2 linked regions of the Notamacropus eugenii genome follow. The main gene of each other region encodes a partner of the protein of the gene in region 2 in a complex. Links are inferred from orthologs where the notes say so. Each region holds a gene or a part of one and is shown on either strand. Other genes may lie near its edges.

Region 1 (10,515 bases), on a different chromosome or scaffold from region 2:
TCTCCCCACAGGTCATTGACCGGAGTGGGGCCCGTCTGGGTGAATATGAGGACCTGTCTCAAGTGGAGAAGTTTGAGCTCTCCCAGTCAGCCTATGAGAGCAGAGCTGGTATATGGGCATGAGGAAAGCTTGGGGAATGGGGGAGCATCTGGGTGAGTGGGAAGGCCATGAGAAATTTGGGGGATGAGATTAGAAAGTGAAGGTGTTGAGAAAGGGGCCCTGGTGTAAATGGAAAAGATAGAAAATGGGGGAGAGAAGAGACTCAGGCCTGGATCACAGAGATGGGGGGGCAAGGAAGCTGAAGGGGCCTGGGGATTGGGGGGGGTTTAAGTTTAGGGCAGTGACCCCCTTGACCCCTGGCCTCCAGACTCCGTACGCTCCTTCCTGAAGCGCAGCAAGATGGGCAAATTCAACGAGGAGGAGCAGAAACGACGGGAGGCTGAAGCGGCCCAGCGACTTGCCGATGAGGAGGCCCAGGCCCAGGCCATCGCAGTGGGCAGCCGCTGCCAGGTGCAGGCAGCCGGCCAGCCCACCAAACGGGGCACTGTCATGTTTGTGGGTGAGTCAGTGACCCAAGGGCAGCACTGGGCGTGCAGATGGGCATTGTGGTGCAGTGGGATGAAGGTGGGGCCTGTTGGGGCAGGGGCATTTAGTGAGTGGGCAGATCACTTCCCCGAGTCTCAGATTCCTCATCTGATGAGCAAATACTCATGAAGTATCTGCCCTGTGCCAGGCAGACCCTGGGGGCACAAAGACAAGGCTCCCAAGCCTGCCCATCAGGGGCTTCCATTCTGGCTAGGAAAAAGACACATACAGTATCTAAGTGTGCCTGAACAAGGTGGTTTCAGAAGCAGCTGGGGATTAGGACAGGCCTTAGAAAGCTGAGCTCCCTAGGAACCTGGAACTGTTCATAATCGAAGAGAAAGGGGAGATGCTGCCTGGTCAGCTGCATGGACAATTTGTTCGAGTCACAGAGGTGGGTGGTGCAGGGGCTGCAGTGATAAATTGTGATTGAGAACCCCTGGAGATGAATACAGAGGGCAGGGACACAGTCTGGCATCTGTGTGATAGTTGAGAGCTTATTGAGGAGCCAGAGGAGGGGAGGGCAGGAAGTGACAGCCCCAGCTTCTCTGCAGAATGGGTCAGTCCCCCAGGCTAGAGAGACAGGAGCTGCTGTTGTGGCCCTGCCCTTAGCTGGGTCCTGAATGAGCTGCTTCTTGTGGGCAGGACTCACGGATTTCAAGCCTGGCTACTGGGTTGGCATCCGCTATGATGAACCGCTGGGGAAGCATGATGGCAGGTGAGGCGAGACACCCTGGGACTCTCTCTGTGAGTGTGTGTAGGAGAGTGTGTTTGTGTGTGTGAGTGTGGGTGTGTGTTTTTGTTAGTGGGTGTGATTGTGGGTATGAATGTGAGTGAATGTGTCCGGGTAGCCCTGTGACCTCTTTTAGTCTCTGTCATCTGCAGTGTGAACGGCAAACGCTACTTTGAGTGCCAGGACAAGTATGGTGCCTTTGTCAAGCCACACACGGTGACCGTAGGAGACTTCCCAGAGGAGGATTATGGACTGGACGATGATGAGATGTGACCCCCTGGTGGGGGTGGGGGGTTACACACTACTGGGGGGGTTGTCCCCTTGGATGCAGCCTCCCTTTCTCTTCCCCACCCTCCAGCCCGGGCCCCTCCCTCCTGTTTCGTGTCTGTGGTGTATTCTCTCTTGCCTTCCCTATTTTGAGTTGTATTTTTTATCTTATTTTCCCCTTGGCTCTTGTGAGGTTGTGAGACAAGTGAATTAAATGCCTCTGAATCCCTTGGAGGCAGCCTGGGTTCTTGAGGGCTAGGGAGAGGGCATTTCATTGCTGAAGATTGTGGGTGATCAGGGAGGGGAGCTTGGGGTAAGGGGGCCCTGAACAACTGGAGGAGCAGCAGTGAGTCTGACAGGGAGGCTGGCCTTCACTTTCCTCACATCTGGTCAGCCCCGAAGTGGCCTCTGACCTGCTGACTATCTGGGCTTTCAGAACAACTTTTTAGGGGTTTGTTTGGAAGCTATTTTGAAGAGGAGAGAGACTGGAGGCAGGTGGCTCATCTTTAGTGTGGATTTCTTGTTCTTCCATCATCTGCCTCTCCTGAAGGCCTTTCCTACAGCAGAATAAAAATGAAAACAAGTTAACCCATCAGCATCTGCAGCGTTCAACACCCATAATCCCCTAGCTGTGTAGAGAAGGGGGGGAGGTATATGCTCGCATCTCTTCTTTTGGGCCAAACTTGGTATCATTTTATACTGGGGAGATCTTAATAGAAAGCTGCTGAAATACAGCAGCTAGAGGGTGCCATAGTGCTGGGCCTGGAAGACTCTTCTCTCTGAGTTCAAATCCCACCTCAGACACTTAGCTGTGTGAGCCTGGGCAAGTCACTTCACCCTGGTTGCCTCCGTTTCTGATGAAGAGTGGGACCCAACTAAACAACAACAGTTGAGATAGAGGTAGCTCAGTTTGTAGGCAGGAAGTCTTGAGACTCAAGCCCTACCTCTTATACGTTAGGGCTTGGTGACCTTGGGCAGGTCCCATCAGGCCCTTAAAGTGACTAAAGGGTTCTAACTGCCTTACTGGGAGGTCTCCACGATGGTGAGGTGAGTGGTTTTTCTCCCCTCCCACCCCCATGTTAAAATAAAAGGTTTAAAACAGTGCAAGTGAGACCATGCTTTCCTTTTGTCATTCTTATCAGTTTGCTAAAGTTTAAAGGGAAGCCTTGGCATTATTTTGATTGGCATTTTTCTAATTCTTAGTAATTTGGAGCATTCTTTTATATCGTTAGTAATTGACAGTTCTTCTGAGAAATGTCCAGATTGCTTGCCCACATCTCTGTTGGAATTACTTTTGGCCTCTGATGTTTCTGTTAGGTTTTTACATAGTGTGGATATGAAACCCACATCAGAGATAGCAGACGCAGATTTTTTTTTTCTCCATAGTCGACTGCTTTCTCTCTTTGCATTAATTTTGTTCATGCAAAACTTTTTAATTTCAAGTAAGCAAAATTAACTCTTTTGTCATTTCCCTTATCCTTTGGTAAAGACGTTACCTCCTCCAAGTTACATAAAGCTCAAGCATGACTCCAGAACAGTTAAGGATGCTGCCGACGCACCCCTGCCCTTTGTGGAGCTGCGAGGACCACAGCTCTGCGCCCTGATGGTTAAAATATATTCCATGACTGTGCTTTTTCTTTTTTTGCTTTAAAAACCATTTGTTATGTGAGATGCTTGCAGGGAGGAGGAGGAATGCTAAAAGAAAGAGCCCACCCTTTATCCATATCTGTGCAAGGCATGTGATGAGCTTCTAGTTTTTTTAAAATTCTTTTAATCTCACCCTAATCAGTCAACTGGCATTGTTCCTCCTTCATTGCCGAAGACTACCATGTCATCAGAGAAATGATGACCTGACTTGCACTTGACTTTGTTTTGAGTGAGGGAGGGCTGTGCAGGTCACCAGCCTCACTTCTCCAGAGCCATCTGGGTCCAGTGACCGGATATTCATCAGGATGACTGGAGATGGCCCAGGATGCACTGGGAGACCTTGGCCTGACCTGTGCAGGTACTAAGTTAGGGTGAGGTAAAACTAATCAGGGCCTGTTCCCTTTAATGAGGCAAGGAAGAGGAAGACATCAGACTGGGAGGGAAACAGCAACACTTAACGTTGATAATCACTCTGAAGCCCGGAAGGTCCAGAAGAGAGCCTTTAGGCAGGGGCAGGAGCCCCATGGTGTCTGAGTTACGGAGTGCAGTAGGCTCAAGGTTCTAGGCTCAAGGTTCTGAGAAGGGTAGGGAAGGGAGGCTAGCCAGTAAGTAAAACCCAAGTCACCTGGGCATCTTTTGGCTATCCAAATTTACCTTCCTTTGGAGAAGAGAAGAAAGGGGGGAGGGGAAGGCAGACAGGAGAGGAGGGGTTGAGTTACCCAGCTAGCTGGGTCCCCATTCAGCCAGCTGGGTCTGCTCATAGGATTGTGTCTGTGCTTCGTTGCTGAAGCAGACCATGCCATCAGAGAAATGGTGATGTGACTTGCACTTATCTTTGTTCTGAGCGAGGAAGGGCTGTGCAGATCACCAGCCTCACTTCTCCAGAGCCATCATCTGTGGCATAGTGGAGATGGGATGTTCAGGAGTCGTCAAGACCTGTGTTCCAGAGCTCTCCAGCCTCTCGGTGCCTCTAGGCACTAAATTGCAAAGGGTTCGCTGGAGAACTAGTGGTGGGAATGCTTTCATCTGGGAGCTCCCTACTTCAAGGAAATGGCAGGTCTAGCTCCACTCCTTTGGGCGTTTACATTCCGGTCACATGTTCATTTTGAATTTATTGTGGAGTATGGTCTGTCATGTTGGTCTAAACCTCATTTCTGCCAGACTTCAGTTTTCCCACTAGTTTTTAAGAGAGTCTTTTCCGAGGTTACGCTTTCAGACGTCGATGGACTTCGCAGCATTGTAGATGGCTCAGGCTTTATCAGTCTCTGCTAAGAGCCAGGCTTTGTCCTGGGACGATACCGGGGAAACCCAAGGATCCTGTTTGTCAGCCTTGGCAGCGGGGCTTGGAATGTAGCAGACGCTTCACAAATGCTTGTTGCCGTTCCATTGCGAACGATCGATCCCTCCGCACAAGTCTACGTTCTGATGGGGGACAAGGGGAAAGGCATGGGTCCTGAGTGAGGCACCTCAGGGGGTGGCCGGACCTCGGGGGGCACAAGCGTCCAGAGAGGATGGACAGGGAGGTGGGGGCCGGGGGATCCAGGGCTTCGGAGGTGAAACCAGCCTTGGACGTGGCCCAGGGGCAGCGGGGAGCCCGGGGCTGTGGACCGCGGTGGTCTCACGCAATGGGACGGGCAGGACTGGAGGAGTCGTGAGGAGAGCGGGGCGAGCCCGGAGTAGGGAGGCCCCTGCTCCCATTGCCCCCTTCAGGAGGGGGCATTACCGTCATCACTGGCCTCCGACCAGGACACGGCCCCGGGGGGGGGGGTCCCCACTTCCGCGTCTCGGGCCGGTCCCGGGGACTGAGGAATGAACCAGGCCCCGACTTCCGGGGGCGGGGACAGAACGGGGACCGAGGAATCACCCACGCCCCGAGGGGGGCCGTTTCCTCTGCCCTCCTCCCTCAGCTAGACTGGGCCGGTCCAGCGGCTATGCCCTCCCCCGGCCGCACCTCCGGGGACCCAGGAGTCCCCCACCCCCTCGCGTGTTCCGCCCCGCGTGGGGCCCGAGAGCGTTTTCCGAGTCACTGGCTGGGGGGAGGCGGGGATGGGACTCTTAAAGGCGCAGGCACGCCCTCGCCCCGCGTCTCTCCGGGACCCCGCAGGGCGGGAGGGCTGGGCCCGGTTCCAGGGAGCAGCTGGTGGGCGGGGCGCCCGGGTCCCGTTATGCAGCGGGAAGGGGAGGGGCGGCACCGGACAGTCTGCGAGACGGGCTTTAGGACCACGCGGACGCCCGGGGAAGGCACATCGCCTCGGGCGGGGCCACCCCTGAGTCACCCCGGCCCCGCCCGACCGTCCTGTAGCCGGACCGAGAGGAGTCGAGCAAGGAGGGTAGGAGGCCAGACCGCGGCTGGGGAAACTGAGGCCGAGATCAGGGTGAGAGCGCCCCCCGCCCCAAGTCCGGGCTCCCCAACCCCGCTCGAGTCTCCCCCAGCCTGGCCTTGAGTCCCCCTGAACCCCGGCTTCAGTGCCCCCTCCCCTCGTGCTTCCTGACCCCCCTACTTGGGCACGAGCAAGAGACCCTAAGGATCCCCCACACCCGCGGAGCACCCTAACAACCCAGGACCCCTAGCCTTGACTCCCGGAAGCCAGCCCCGGCCTCCCCTGAATCTCAGTATCCCCAAACCGTGCCCCAGTACCCACCCTCCTCGGGACCATCAGGAGCGGGGCCCCCGACTCCCCCTGACCCCCCGCCCCATAGCTGACCGCGGCCGGCGTCCTGACTCTGGCCCCCAGGTCCCGGAGACATGTTCCTGGTTAATTCATTCCTGGGCGGGAAGGGCGGCGGCGGCGGGGGCGCAGGCAGAGCTCTCGGGGGGCTGCTCAGCGGCGGCGGCGGCGGTGCTGGAGGCATCGGCAATGTCATCGGGGGGCTACTTAGCGGAGGCGGTGGCGGCGGCGGTGGCGGCGGCGGAGGAGCTGGGGGTGCCATGGGGTTCCTAGGCGGTGTCATCAGCGCCATCAGGTGAGCGGGGGCTGGGGGAGCTCAGCCTGGGGGGCCCTGGAACACTGGGGGCCTCGGACATGGGGAGGTCCTGGGATGTGGGGAGCCCTGAGACACGGTGGGGCTGGGATATGAGGAGCCCGAGACATGAGGGGACCTGCGATACGGGGACCCTCAAACATGGGGAACCCCGGGACATGTAGTGGGGTCCACTGTTCCGTGAGAGGTCTGGAGACTGGGCCGGAGCGCGGTGGTGAATAAGCATGAGCCATCTTAGCCAGCGGCAGTAGAGTCATGGCAGGTATGTGGCAGAGGAGGGGTCGCCCCACCTGGCTCCGTATACCTTGTGAGGATCCCCGGGTTTGTGGGCTCCAGTCACAGCCCAGCTCAGCAGAGCCACGACCTCCCATTAATGAGGGGGGGGTGGGACTCCATGGTCTTAATGTTGAAAAGAACCTGACACTTATCGGTGTGTTGGGATCTCTGGAAGGGGCCTCACTAGCCCACTTCTTCATCACTCATTTTACAGTTGAGGAAACTGAGGGCTCACAGAGTCACACTGCATCAATCAGAGGGAACCCAGGATCGCGCAGTGTCGCAGGAGGTGGGGACGGGGCATGGACAGGACTCGGGGCTGGTGGACTAAATCACCCCTCCTGCGGGGAGCCTGGAAAGATACACAGCTTAGATAAAATGGGAACTCAGCTAGAGTCTGGTAGGAGCCTGAGACACCGAGGGTCAGCCCGACACATTCCAGGGGGTCTTGTGGGGTCTAAAGAGCATTCTCTCTTTGGGAAGCAGCTTGGTTCAGAGGAACAGGGTTCCCGCTCTGCCTCTGAAATTTCATTTGTGTGATTTGCGGCGTCTTGTCTCTTCTCCAGGCCTTAATTTCCTTTTCTGTAAAAGGGGCCCGGACTAGGTGATCTCCTAGGCCCATTCCAGCCACATATCTATGGTTCTGTAATTGGAGACTCCGAACTTGCATAACAGAGGGTGGGTAGGGGCTGAGCAGCTGGGGCTGGGGGCGGTCCCCAGATGGGGTCAGAGCTCAGGAGTCCAGGAGGGGGAGGGGGCAAAAAACAGTCATGGCTGGAGAATAGAGCTGGTGGAAAGGAGTCTTGAGTCAAGTCTGGGAAGGTGAGGATTTGGAGGCAGCTGGGAGCTGATGATGGTTTTTGAGCCTGGGGAGTAAATCCAGGAAGCATCTTGCCCTGTCCCCATTCGGTTTTATCCGTTTCCTTTTGGGCAGTCCCTACTGAACCGGGTCTGCCTGGGGCAGAAGACTTGGGGGGAGGACCAGGGGGTACCATCTGTACCTGAAAAGGTACTCTGTACCTTCCCAAGGCTGTAGTCCCCAGGGCAGAGCAAGTCAGAGTGGTCATTTAGGGAGGAGCCAGGGAGAAGAAGGGGGTCTTGGGGGTCAGCTGCTAGTGGGCAGTAGGGATGGAGGACAGAAATGCAGCCGGGGAGATACCGAGTCAAAAGGCAGAGAATGCTGGGTTACCCTATCTGGGTGAACACTAGTCCAAGGGAAGGGCTTTCTAAGACTGGGAAGACAGGATACTGGTGATGGAGCAAGCTCTCCCCTGGGTTTCAGAGAATCCTGGTCCTCCTCTTGGGTCTGCCCAGCCGTCTCTTTGCATCCTTTGGTCCCTGTTGCAATTTTGGATGAGGGCAGGCTTTATCTAAACCCAGCAGGAAAATGTGACTTGTTGGGGACAGGGGCTATTTCTTTCCATATTGATATGTTTTGCCCAGAATAGATGTTTAATTGAATGCCCAGATGTATGGGTAAGAGATACTTCTGTCCACAGTGGAAGTGGGTGGGTGGAGGAAGAGGAGAGACACACTGTCTGGGGATAATTTTGAGCTTTGAGCTGTAGATTAAAAGAAGGATGATAAGTAGCCCTGGCCCTAAGAGGGGGTTCAGAACCGGGAGCCATTTTAGGGGAAAGGAAAAGCTTGATTTGGGATTTATTGAGATGGAAGGAAGAAATAGAAGAAAAACATTTATTAAATGTTATCTGAGTGCCAAGCACTGTGCCAGGCCCTGCCCCCACTCAACTGTAAGTCACAGGGGGCCTTAGGTGTACTTGTAAGTCAGATGTTGGAGGTGGATCTGGACATGACCCAGGAGGACCAAGGAGGTCACGGGGGTCTGCGGGGTAAGGGAGGAGTAAGCGTGGTATCAAAGGACCAGCAGACCACCTTGGGGGATGGTTAGAGGACCTGCCTGGGAGGCAGGAGGATCCAAGTGTTCAAATACTGCCTCTGATCTTTTCTCACCAAGCTCACCTAAGGCAGGCCACAGGCCACAGGCCACGGAAGCGCTAAGACAGTCACTTATATTGGTGGAAGAGATTTTCCCCACCAGTGAGAAAGTTCCCTGTAAATGTTGAAATCATGGGCCCAGACCAAGATAAATACATAGGTAATTTTCAGGGCTTTTTTTTAGTCTGGACAGGTGACATCTTTGAAGCTGGGAACTCCCAGTATGGAAGGCCCCCTCTCCCAATGCAAAATATAATCAGTTTCATAGAGTTGTTGGGGCCACCAGGACAGTTCACACAGGGTCACACAGCCCCTAAGGCATCCTCAAGACTTGAACCTCCCAGGTCTTCCTGGCATTGTCTACACTGCCTTTATTTAACATTGTTGTTCAGTTGTTTATATCTAACTGTTTGTGATCCTGTTTGGGGTTTTCTTGGCAAAGACACTGGAGTGGTTTGCCATTTCCTTCTCCAGATCATTTTATAATTGGGGAAACTGAGGAAAATAGGGTTAAGTGGCTTGCCCAGGGTCACAGTTAGTATCTGAGGCTAGATTTGAACTCAGGTCCTCCTGATTCCAGGTCCAGCATCCCCTGGGCCACCTATCTGCCCCTTATTTTACATATATATATAAAATTATAATCAGTCCTGTCCACCAACCCAAATGTCACACTCCACAGTTCTTACAGGCTTTATCATCATTTGAGGCAGGAAGCCCAGAGAAGTTATCCAGTGAGAGAGGGTCAGAATTTATGTGTAGAATGGGTATTGGATTTTTGCCTTCTCAGTGGGTGGGAGAAGGGTAGAGGAAGAGAGAAAATTGGGAACTGAAAATAAAAATTTTAAATTTAAAAGGGTGTGGATCTGAACCCAAGTCTTCCAGCCTCTTGAGTCTTTAGGCATCCAAGCCTGGGTGACAGACTCTTGAGGTCTGTGGAGGGCAAGGTTGTGTCAGTTCTGATTCTCCCCATTGCCCAGCACGGGGCTTAGAAAATGTTTAGTCAGAAGTAGTAAAATCCCATGAAGGAATGGGCAGAGGGATTGTGGTGAGTTCAGTTTTGTGTGTGCATCTGAGGTGTGGCACTGGACTGTCAGGTGGAAATATTTTTTTGGTTGTGGGAGATACAGGACTGTGACTGGGGGGAGACAGAGAGGGAGAGAGACAGAGACAGAGAGAGAGATGAAGAGGACAGAACTTGGGGGTGAGGGATGCCCATGTTTAGGATGTGGGAGATGGCAAAGGATCCCTTAGCTATGTAGGGAGAGGGGCTTCTCTGAAGGAGACAGGAGGGAATGGTGGTGAACATAGACAGGGCACAAGGACTCTGTCTATGAAGGGATCACAACATAATAGATTGAAAATTGGAAGGAACCTGAGTCCAATTCCCTCATTTTACAGATAGAGAAACTGAGGCCCAAACTGACTAAGGAACCTGCCCAAGCTGGTATAGCTAGTATAGATCCAATTTATTTTTTAAATTTCTTTACTTAGATCTTAACTAATACAAAAATAACTCAATCTCTTGATATATAAAACAGAAAAAAAAAAGATTTTGCATGAAACAATAGATGCTTTTTTCTCAGCAAAAGCAGAAAACCTGCAACTTCCAAAGCTGTTCTGCATTTCTGTGCTTCCTGACCCTCCTGTTTTCTTATCTGCAATTTTTCAAACTGTGTCTCAGTGACCCTCTTTAACTTTGCCTTCTCAGCCCTCTTCTCTTTCCCCCTCCGGCCCACTATCATTGGGAAAGAAACAAAAAAGAAAAATGGCACTTGGCACTAATATGCAAAGCACATTCCCATGTTGCCTTTGTCTGAAAATGTGTGCCTGGCCCTGCATCCCAAGGCCAACCCCCCACCCCATGGTCCTCTGGAATCCTGGCTGGTCCTTGTGTAGATCAGAGCTCTCAAAGTCATTCAGAGTGGTTGTTCACTGTGTAAGTGGTTCTGGGTCTGCTCACTTCCTCTGTGTCAGTTCCTACAGGTCTTTAGAAGTTCTCTGAAACCACCCCCTCATCACTTCTTACAGCACAATAGTATTGTCACATTCATAGATCAGAACTCCTTTAGACA
Region 2 (11,459 bases):
TTTGTTCCTTGGGCTCCATGGTCAAGGTTTAAGAAGATGAAGAGTGTAAGAAAAGGATGCTTAATCTCTCTCATTAGAGGAAAGGCTTCCCCAGGAATAAGCCTTATCAAAATCACATGCCTGAGTATGTTACAGGAAATGGGTGTGGTACTTGTGGGTCCACTGTGGTTCTTTAATATTAGACACCAATCAAGCATGATTAGTAAGACTGTTTACAGCTGTTGAAAGTTCTGGGCATGGAAGAGCCACACAAATCATTCTAGGATCCTCAGGCCAAAAAGAACTTGAGAGATGATCTTCCTTTCCTTAGGCAAAAGTGTTTCTAAGCTATGCCAGGCAGGTGAAGATCTCTCTCTCTCTCTCTCTCTCTCTCTCTCTCTCTCTCCCTTTCTCTCCTCCTCTCTCCCTCCCTCCCTTTCCTCTCATTTTAAAAGGTCTCCAAGGAGACTCCCCTATATGACACATTCCTGTGTTTAACAATTTCTGCTTTTTTTATATGTATTTTTAAAATTTCTGCTGTCAGGGACTTCTTCCTCATTTCACCTCCTGCTTTCATATGGAGAAAGTTCACTTTATTTTTTTCCTAAGTGAGGGGGAAAAAATAATATAAACTCCTTAGCCTGGCTTTCAAAGTCCTCTAGAATTTAGTCTCATCTGACTTATCTAACATTATTCCTATCAATCATAATGCAAAATCACAGATGCTAAATAGATAGTAGTAAATAAGAACTGAAACCCAATAGTTTAGTTAAGGGGCTTCAGCACAGACATTCAGTCAAGGCAATACTTAAAAAACAAACAAAAAATAGTACAATGTATTTGACAAGAAGTCCCGAAGCATCTGCTTGCAGAAGCTCTGATAAAGAGGAACTCCTTACCTTTCCCAAACCCCCATTAGTTCAGATTTATGAAGAATTTAAAAGATTTATAAAGTACATTTTTCACAACAGCTTTGTGAGGTAGATAGCACTGGCATGATGGCTACCATATTTCTTTGCGGAAACGCAATGACTAGTCTCAGGTAACAGAGCTAATGAGAACTGGAGGTGGGATTTGAACCTTTCTCCTGATGCTAAATCCAGCACTCTTTCTACTATATTATGCTAGCTGTTATTGTTCTCACACTTATAAATGACTTACCTGAAAGTGTATCTTCTGTAATTAACTCTTTTTAAATAAAATATGAAATATTAGCAGCATGGAGAAATGGGAGTGGGGAGGAAAGGAGAAAAAGTAGAAAGCAATATAGAAAATGGTAAAGGGGAAAAAAAGAATAAGCCTAGTAGAAGGTATGACCTCACTGCTACATAAAGAGTCCTCATCATGTCACACCTGGACTTTTAAATAACCTTCCAGTTATTGTGGGTTGGTTCAAGTTTCAGATAAAATCCTACCTTCTGTAAGAAGCCTTTCTTACTCTTCCCTAATGGTAGGTCCTTTCCTCTAAGTTATTCTTCAAATACTTGAACACAGCTGTCATGTCTCTCTGAGCCTTATATTTTCAAGACTAAGCTTCCTTAGTTTTTCCAAATGATCTTCATACAGCATGAACTCGAAGCCCTTCACAATTCTAGTTGTCCTGCTCTGGATAATTTCCAGTTTATTAATATCTTTCCTAAAATAAAATTCTAAAGGTCTGACCATGGCAGAGTACAGCAGGACAATGGCCTTATTCCTAGAGGCTCATACTTTTCTTAGTACAATTCATTATTGAATTAGCACTTTGGGCTCATATTTGATTCATGTTAATTTTGTAAGATCACCAAAGCTTTCCAGATCTTTTTCATACAAACTGGTATATTACGATGTCCCTTATCTTGAAACTTTGAAGTCAAATGTAAGCCTTTTGTCCCAACTGAATTTCATCTTCTTAGATTCAATCCAATGCTAAGCAAGATCTTTTGGAATCCTGATCACCCAATGTGTTAGCTCTCTTTCCAAATTTGCATCCTGTGAAATCTGATTCATCCTGTCCTCTACTCTTTACAAATTTACTCTTTACAAATCCCTCTATTCATCCATTTATGTAAATCATTAATAAAAACATTAAGCATTATAAAGTCAGATTTCTGGGGAATTCCACTGAAAAGTAAGCACCTGCTAAATAAGCGCCATGTCATTAACTTAAACTATTTAGGTCTAGCTATTCAATCAGCTCTGGATCCATCTAGCCCACATATCTCAATCACTTGCACAAGAATTGCATGAGGCACTTTATCAAATGCTTGGGTATAATCTAGGTAAAATGTATCTACCACATTTCCCTTTAACTACCAGGTGAGTAGACCTGTCACTAAAGGAAATAATGTTAGTGTTGCCTAACTTATTTGTAACAAAGGCATGCCAACTCTTTGTGATTACCAATGGGAATAACCATAGCACCTTATCTCCCAGGGTTGTTGTGAAGATCAAGTGAAAAGACATTTGTGAAAAATTTAGCACACTACCCGGCACTTAGTAAACACTATTATATTTTATATAATTTCACCAGAAATTGAAGTCAAGCTCACTGGCTTTGGAGGCTTCTAGTCTCTTCCATTAAAATTAAATTCAATTAAAAAAGTAAAATTGGGACATTTGCCCTTCTTCAATCCTGTGGTACCTCTCCCACTGTCCATGATGCTTTAAATATCAATGACAACGGTTCCACAGTCATATACCACCAATATTAGAAGTACCTAAATATATATACAGTAGTTCTTCTTTGCCAAGTGACTTGAATATATCAAGAGAAGCTAGGTGATTTCCCTACCATCTCCATATTTATCTTGGGTAGTTACTCTCTACTACCTCTTGTGCTCTACCCTTTACAATCCAAAGACGATTTCTCTTGGCCAGAAAAACAAAATAAAAATGGAAGAGCTCTGCACGAAACTGTGCTGACTGGGCCCATTACACATTTATATTATCAAATCTGGAGTTTACACTTCAGCAAGGAAAACATGTAACTCTTTCCTAACTCATGTTTCCTCATCTTCATGATTGTCCTCCCCTGAGTACATTCCAATTTTACTCAGTTCTTCTAAAAGTGGCTCCCAGAGATGAATAAAGTGCTTTAGATGTGGTTTGACCAGGGCAGAATGTAGCAAGATTATCCCTTTCCTTGTTTTGGATAGTGTGTGTGTGTGTGTGTGTGTGTGTGCGCATATGTGTGCATGCACACATATACACATGTATATATATATGTATATGTATATATATAAACATACACATACATACATTGTAGATAGCCAAATTATAAGATAGGAGCATCACTAAGAGAACTTAGAAAATATCACACATGAATATATTCTAGAACATCTGCTCTATTGAGTCCTTGCTGCTCCATCATGTCCACAGACCTCACTGAGTTCCTTCTCCTTGTTATTTCTATGCATTCTTTGTAATATGCAGAATATTACAACTGGTCCCCTCAAAGCAATAAACTAGCAGTCTTCTTTATGTCTGCTTTTCTTTAATATCTGTCAGATATTACGGAGTCAGCTTTAGAGCTAGAAAGAACTTTAGAGATCATCTAAAGATCATTTCACTCATTTTACAGGTGAGGAAACTGAGGCCCCAGGAAATTAAATAACTCACCTAAGGTATACAGACATCAGTGACAGAGCAGGCCAGATTTGAACCCAATTTTAGTGTTTTTTTTCTATTGCACTATTCTGCATTTTGAGAGTATGTTGTGCAGTTCTACCTGCTCTGTCTTCTACCTTTGTGCCTCATTGTTGTTTCTTTCCCCTAAGGGACATGCCTCCTACTCCTATGTCCCCTTGCCCGTTGAATTTGGTTAGTTCATAAATGTGTATGAACTCATGCAAATACACACACACACACACACACACACACACAATTTGTCTTATATTTGTCATAAGAAGGGGAATACATTTTGTAATCCCCTTTATCATCATTTATTGGCTACTATGAAAAGGTCTTAGCCTAAAAGGCCAAGGTCTCCCATTGCATCCTGGGCCATCTTTGGTCATCCTGATGAATATCTGGTCACTGGATCCAGATGGCTCAGGAGGAGAAAGTGAGGCTGGTGACCTTGCACAAGCCTCCCTCACTCAAAACAAAGTCAAGTGCAAGTCATCATTTTTCTGATATCATGGTCCTCTTCAAAAATGAAGGATGAACACAACCTGTGAGTAGGCCGAGCTGCCTAAAACGGGGACCCAGCTATCTGGGTAACCCCTTTCCTTCCCTTCCTTTACCTTCCTTCTTGTCTCCCCTAAAGCCTTGGACCTTATGTACTCTGAAGCCCATGGATTTAACAGTGAAGGGTCCCTGCCCAACCTCCACTCAATGGCTGACTTAGAGTGCAAGTCAATAGTAACAGTTTCTCTTCAAAACAACCACCCTGAGACTCCTGCCCCTCCCAGAGTGATTTATCTATTTATTTTCTTATTTCTATTAAAGGGGCCATCCTCCTGGCTACTTTTTAAAGACACCTATTCACTGAATGGGCATTACCTCACTTTAAGTGAGTACCTGGAAAGGCCTTAGCCTAAAAGACCAAGGTCTCCCATTGCATCCTGGGCCGTCTCCAGTCATCCAGATGGCTCAGGAGGAGAAAATGAGGCTGGTGACCTTGCATAGCCCTCCATCACTCAAAACAAAGTCAAGTGCAAGTCATCATCTGTCCGATGTCATGGTCCTCTTTGAAAACAAAGGATAAACAACTAACCAAGCTCTCTCACTCTCCACAGCAGTTGTTCCAAACCTTGTCTCTCCTTAAGCCTATGAACATGATCCTTCCCACCACCCTTTCAGTCAAGGACCTCACACCTCAAACTTTGAGATTCCCCCAAGCTGACATCATTTCAGCAGAGCTGTTCCTTCTCCTATCTTCCTCGTTTCATTACTCAGGCATCTTCCTCTACTATCCTTTCCTTCACTCTGGTTTCAGATCAAGAGATGGCCCCTTAAATTTCCCAAGACAAATCCTTCCACATGTATCCTTGCTCCTTTTCCCAACTTTTCCAACGAACAGCCCCTATCATCCCCATTCTCTCCAATCTTCAATCTTTCCCAATTTACTGACTCCCTGATAACTAAATATATGTGCCTATGTTTCTCTTATCCTTAAAACCCCTTCACTTGATCTGACCATCTCCTCTAGCCATCATGCTATATGTCTTCCTCACTTCATCTCTCAGATCCTTGAAAGAGCTATCTGTAACTAGTCTCTCCCTTTCCTCTCCTCTGACTCTCTTTTAAGCCCTCTGCAACCTAGCTTCCAACCTCAATTCAAACTGCTCCTTCCAAAATTACCACTGATTTCTTACTTGCCATATCTAATGGTCTCATCTCAAGTCCATTCATCTTAACCTCTCTGCACCATTTGACAAATCTTACTTCTCAGACATTATCTTCTTGATCAGCTGTTGGTTTCCTATATCAGTTTTCACTCTTTAGATTCTGACTTTTCAGAATCAATCCCAGCAATCTTGTCCCTCCATTTCAAAGATGAGATGCACACACGACTACCTATGGCTTTTAGGGGATGCTAACTTTAAGGGTAGTGAATGAGATGCTTTTTGATGAAATATCCTGCTTTAATTTCTCACAGAGAATACTAATCCATATCTGCACGCTAGAATGAAGGATCCAAGGGATTTTCTGAATCGCTAAAATAAAAGAAGCCAGAACTCAGTTCAGTCCAACTTCAACATGAAAGCAGGCTTCACTTTTATCTTCCCTCCCACAGACCACAATATAGAAGAGGAAGGGGAAACTCTGATTTTGAAAACAAATAAATCACAAAAATCCTCAGGTTTGCCTAGCAGGTCTGAACATGAAACAGTGCCCACCTCGGGCTGGTATATCTCCAAAAGAGACTTTTCTTGCTGTTCCTGTTATTTTCACTTTCAACCCCCAAACCAGGAAGTAAGTGTTGTTTAAAACCATCGAAATAAGCCAAGCAATCAAATCAGAACCAACCAAGATTAGGTTTGAGGCTGAAGTTTAAGACCCCTTCTTAATGGACTGGAACCAGCTCCCTTTTTTCCCATCGAAAGTCATCGCAATTTGCTTAGTTCTTGATCCATCGATTTGCCCAAACTTCCCAAAGACGGAGGAGGAGGGAGGGATCCACACAGTCCGATTTGCTTTTGTGTTGTTTTAACTCTTCAATCAGAGTTCCAACCCGTCATCAGAGTCCAAATGACAACTCTTTCCAGAAGGCCAAGCCAAGGTGGAATCCTAGAAAAGGTGCTAATTCTTGGAATGCCTAAGGAAGACCAGAGAATAGGAGGGCCACGCCCCGGTCCCGCTCCCTGCACAGTTACGAGATCGGTCCAGGCAAGTTGAAGAAAGAAACCCTAAGAGGCCGGCCTCCAGCCCTGCTGCCCCTCCTCTCCAAAAGTACAAAGAGCACTGGGCAGAAGAGGTTTGGGGGAGGGAGACAATTGGGTGAAGGCAGAAGAAGGGAGTGGATCAGCAGCATCGGACACCCTAGAAAGGACAGTGGCGGGGGTAGCTGCAGAAACTAGCGGGTGCAGGAAGGGGAGGGACTTGCTGGGGGTGAGGCCCCAGATTTGGCTCCAGGGCTCGATCGGAAAAGCTGCTTCACTGTTGCTTGTACTGCCCCTTTCCTCCCTTCTCTCTCTCCCCCTTCCTGCCCTCCAGTCACCGCTGCACCCTCTCTGAGATCTGCAGCTGTCACCATGTCTCAGCCGGGGAAAGGCAAGAGGCCCGCAGCCTCCCCCCGGCCCAAGCGGGCTGCCGCTGCCCGGGCAGCCGAAGGGGTAAGTGGCTTCTTAGACGTCCCACCCAGGAGGGGTGGGCAAGGTGGTAGAGAGTGGGGAGGGGGTCAACCACAGCCCTACAACCTCCGGACTCCTCCCTCGGCTTTGCCCAATCCGGCTTGCGGCCAGGACACCCTCTTGGGCAAAGGGTGGGGGTGCAGGAGGATGGGGACCGGGCGTGGCTCGAGTTGGAAGCAGATTCCTGGGACCCGACGGGACTGCGGGAGCCCGCTGGGCGTGGCGCGTGCCAGCCCAGGGAACTGAGAGGGTGGCTGGCGGAGGAAGCAGCTGAAAGTTAGCCACAGAGAAAAGGGCACCGTGGGCCAGGGGATAAAGGCGAAGTCGGCTTCCCTGGAGATGCCCAGAATGCTGTAACCGAGCCATTTCTGCCCTGTTCCATGCCTGTCACACCGCCCTTCCCCCCCCAAAATCCGAAGCTTCAGGGCGTGGCTGTCCCGGGAACAACACATCCTCCGGTCTCTCCAGTGTGGCCGAATCTGGCTGACGGGGCGGGGCCCACGGTGGACCCCGCCCAGTGCCTTGCCCTCCCACCTGGCAGCTGCTAGAAGAGCCAGGAGTGAAGTGCCAGCTGAAGCCAGGCGCAGGTGAAGACCTTAAGCCGGCGCGCCTTCACGCACACGCAGCTCCTCACTTAAGCCTGTCCTTCGCCCGGTTCAGGGGATTTAGCTGGGCTTGTCATGGCTTTTGCAAGCTGGTGGTACAAGACGGTAAATATGACATGGGGCTTTTGTCTTGGAGGGACAGGAAAGACGGGTGTGTTCACTTTGCTCTCCCAGACCTGTAGGGGAGACATTGACTATTTGGTGATCAGGAAGGGGTGGGGAGAGGATGCCACTGCTTCTCGGGACCTAAGGTTAAGCTTCAGAAAAGACTCACCCACTTGTGGTATTTGTGTGTGTGTATGTGTGTACATCTGGCTTGTGTGGCTGCTGCCTGCCCTCCAGACAGTCTGAATGAACCAGGCTGTAGAAGTGGAAGAATTCCCCCCTACAAACCTGGGAATTCCTGGTTTGAGAGAAGGTGGAGATTCACCTGATCTCAGATACAGGACAATGAAAACAAAACAAAACAAAAAAAACCAACTCTAGGTACTTTTGATTTAAGCGAAGGCGGGCATCCAGAAATCCAGGACCACCTCTTTTTATTTTATTTTACTTTTTAAGCCAGTAAATCAGGAGACCTCCAGGCAGTAGCACAAAATGTGAAATGGTTTGTGTGCAGGAAGGGATTGAAGGTGTTCCATTTCTTTAGTACTTCGTGAATATCTTTCCAGCTAATGAGCAAAATAATCAAGTTGATGCTTGCAAAGTTGTGGAACCAGGAACTGTGATTTAATACCGTATTGTGGGTTTTTTAAAATGTTGGCGCAAATGGGTTAGCTTGATTCAAGTTTTGTTGACAGCTTTGCTTCATGATAGACAGTTCAAAAAACTGGTTATGTGTGTACCTTATGGTTTTTCATGGTGAATACTTCCTATTCCATGTTTGCCAGTATAATATCCTCTTAAATATACTCAGTAGAAATTTGCTTTGGATAAAACTTCTCAATTCTTTTTCTAAGGCTCCGTTTAAAATGTTGAATAAATGATGTATAGCTAAGCATACCATAATTTAGACATGATAAAGCCAAAGTTAATATCATACTTTGCTTTTTGCTGAGTTATGATTTCCCAGGTAAATTATGCTGGAGTAATAAAATGAAACTGACTTAAATTTCTCAAATCTTTTTATTTTTTTTTTTAAGTTTAGTACTCCATCTAATCTCTTTGTAAAACCTATTATTGTATTCAATTTGGGGACTGTTCTGTATATTTTACCCTACTTGGAATATCTCTGAATTAGCTGTAGTAGCTAGAGTACTCTGCTGAAAAACCATTTGTTTCTTCCCCCTTGACACTTATTAGAGATTATTTCAAACACTTTTAGGTGAGTCCTTTCGTAGGAGAACATTGTTTAATAAAGTTCGGGGAAAAAATGTGAGTAGCCCAACTTTACATATCAGAATAAGTAAGATAAACTCATAGAATATGTAATCTAAGGAGTGTTTGTGTGTAGGAAGTGCTAGCTAGAAGAAATCAAGTGAAATTGTTTAAGATAAAATATTGGATCTCAAATTTCTACTAACTATAATGGCTAATATCAACAAAATTAGCAGTATATCAACCTTATATTTTGAAAAACTCTAATTTGGGGGATAGGGGACTGTTGGAAATGCTAACATTAAATTATATTTTCTTTGTAGTGATAATGCATAGACTAGTTTAAATTTAGTTTGTACCTATAATCATCCTCCAAAGTCATGAATTGCATTGATTATAGCAAGTTAATTAGAGGTGTTTAATGGACCTAATTAGATGCATGGGCTCCAGTGACAGCATTATCAGCACATAGTCATTTGGAACTGGACAGCCAGGCTGGTAGGAGTGTTGCAAGCACTCTGTGACTGCACAGTCTGGCTTCAGTAAACCTGAAGGATTAAGAAATTTAAAATTACAGTCTTCAGATATTTAGGGTAAACAAATGGAGCACATAGGCTTTGAGGTGAATGCCAAAGAGAAGGAAATGTCAGAACACAAGTTTCCCATTTTAGTTGCTAACTGAGGAATAATACAGGGACAACCCTGTTCACAGATGAGGTTTTTTTTTTTTTAATTGGCAAGTTATATCCTTATTATATTATTAATTTTAATTAAGTTGCACATATCCTCCAACAACAATTTTCATATACAAGTTCTTTTTAAAGGGGCAATGTAGTTCTTGAAGGTTTAGAGAAAGTGGGTGGCCATGGACTAAGCATTGCATACATCTTTATGTTTGTCCAAAGACAAGCTGATTTTCAACTCAAAGGAAGACAACTCGTACCAAATATAACTAGAGACTTTACATCTCTTCTTCATTGTTGTCGTTTAAGGCAGTCTAAGACTATTAAAATTCAACAGATGTGACTTTCAAGTTCATTTTCTACATGGATTTTGTAGATTTCTTAATGATAACTTACCATGAATGCTTCACACCTATTAAAATAATGAAAGAAAGAAGTGCCTTCTAATTTAAAAATCTGATCAACCTTCTTTATTTTTTTTATTGCTTCCTCAAGCATGTATAAATCATTAACATTGAGGGAGTGTGAAAAGTTTTCTAAAATTCTATGGGAACTCTTTTTTTCTTATCCATTAGAGCTTCATTCAGCTAATTAGTAAATAAAAATAAGGCAAAGTAAAGGACTATCGAAGTGAACGTTCATCATCAATATTAAGAAGCATTTATCAGACATCTGCTGTGTGCATGATGCTGTCCTAGGTGCTAGAGGCACACAAAATGTAACAACAGTCCCAACCCCATCATAATGGTAGAAAACCTAGCTGCAAACCCCTTCTCCCTATATTGACCTCCCCTTAATTTTTTTGTATTTCAGTTCTTTTGAGATTCCACATGATTTAATAGAAATTTAAACCCAAGCCTGGGTGTGACCATAGACTCCACTCATGAGTTGTTCAGTGCTGTCTTTTAAAAAAAAATAGAAAAATGTGATACAAGCTCCATTCAGGATCACATGGAATCCCAAAACAGAACTACTGATTTTAGCAAGAATTTCCCTTTGAATTCAATGACCCTGACTTCAGTAACTTCAAAACAAGGAAATAAACAGTCAGAGATTAAATGACCAAGATTATTCAACTAGTAGGTACCAAAACTAGGTCTTGAATTCAAATCCTTTTACCTCAAACCCAATACACTTTCTTGTAATCCATATCTTGACCAATAAATAAGAGGGATCATTAATATGACATATCTCACAGATGGTCTTGCAAGTCCTTAATAGGGCTAGGCTAGGGAAATAGGCAATCATCTTATAGTGTATGATTTGAGGGTCATCAAGAAGTTCCTCTGCATCCAAAAATTGCTTCCTACTATATCACAGTGCTTAAAATTCCACCATTAGAATAACAGAATTTAAGATTCTGTTATTATTAAAACTTTACAGATGAGGAAACTGAGGCCAAGAGAAGCAAAATGACTAGCCCTATGTTAAACAAGAAGTTAGTGTCATCATAAAGGGCTAAAAGGCAATCAAAAGCTATGATTTTTTCAAAGAATTGTACAGCTTAATGTAGAGGTATTGGTTCATATATTGAATAATTAATATTTCTCTTATTTCATTCAAACATTTCAAGAAATTCTTATTATCCATACTGCTTGGTTTATAAGTATTTTACCCTTGTTTTGTAGATGGAGAGACCTAAATCGATTATGTGTTTACTGTGATGACATAGAGTCTTCATAGTCTTGGGAATTATGCTGTTATTATTGCTTTAATACCTCTTTAATCTTACTGCCTTGTGCTTTAGCTTTCTCCTTGGGATTTCTCCACTGTTCCCTGTATCAGAGCTTACTCTGATGCCTAGAAACTTGGGCTTATGGGAGATATTGTGGCTCAGCACTTTAAATGCTGGCTTAGAAATCTAGGTATTATGAATTATAACAAACTAATAATGTTCTTTGGGAAGTTGTCTTTCACATGATTCCTTCATCTGTAAAATGGAATGACAGTGTGGTAACCCTACTTGAAGTGGACTAATAATTATAAAGTGCTAAATCATAATATACAACTTACCTGGCTTCTTGGAATGTGGGAGGGAGGGCAGAACTCATTATTGATTATATTTTTATGTCCAAAGTCCTCCACAGAAATCCTCT

The links.
Region 1: the proteins of CAST (region 2) and CAPNS1 are in contact, whole or in part, in a crystal structure (PDB 3BOW), measured with the Rattus norvegicus proteins. The link is inferred for Notamacropus eugenii from reciprocal best matches to the Homo sapiens genes CAST and CAPNS1. Residues at the interface, in NP_445747.2 of Rattus norvegicus: Pro652, Ile653, Asp654, Ala655, Leu656, Ser657, Asp659, Leu660, Asp661; in NP_058814.1 of Rattus norvegicus: Phe103, Leu106, Gln109, Leu110, Ile125, Lys128, Val129, Arg132, His133, Leu136, Phe166, Trp170, Lys174, Gln177, Lys181.

The regions. Positions count from the first base shown.
Region 1 is NC_092876.1:33,186,706-33,197,220, forward strand, and holds the start of CAPNS1 (calpain small subunit 1), read left to right. Parts: upstream 1-5,474; 5' UTR 5,475-5,604; intron 5,605-5,964; 5' UTR 5,965-5,975; coding exon 5,976-6,193; intron 6,194-6,967; exon of another isoform or gene 6,968-7,165; intron 7,166-10,515. Other genes in the region: TBCB (tubulin-folding cofactor B), read left to right, coding at 12-108, 368-559, 1,228-1,300, 1,468-1,588. UniProt on the Homo sapiens protein: Regulatory subunit of the calcium-regulated non-lysosomal thiol-protease which catalyzes limited proteolysis of substrates involved in cytoskeletal remodeling and signal transduction. Essential for embryonic development.
Region 2 is NC_092875.1:442,070,646-442,082,104, reverse strand, and holds the start of CAST (calpastatin), read left to right. Parts: upstream 1-6,023; 5' UTR 6,024-6,659; coding exon 6,660-6,740; intron 6,741-7,285; exon of another isoform or gene 7,286-7,438; coding exon of another isoform or gene 7,439-7,468; intron 7,469-11,459.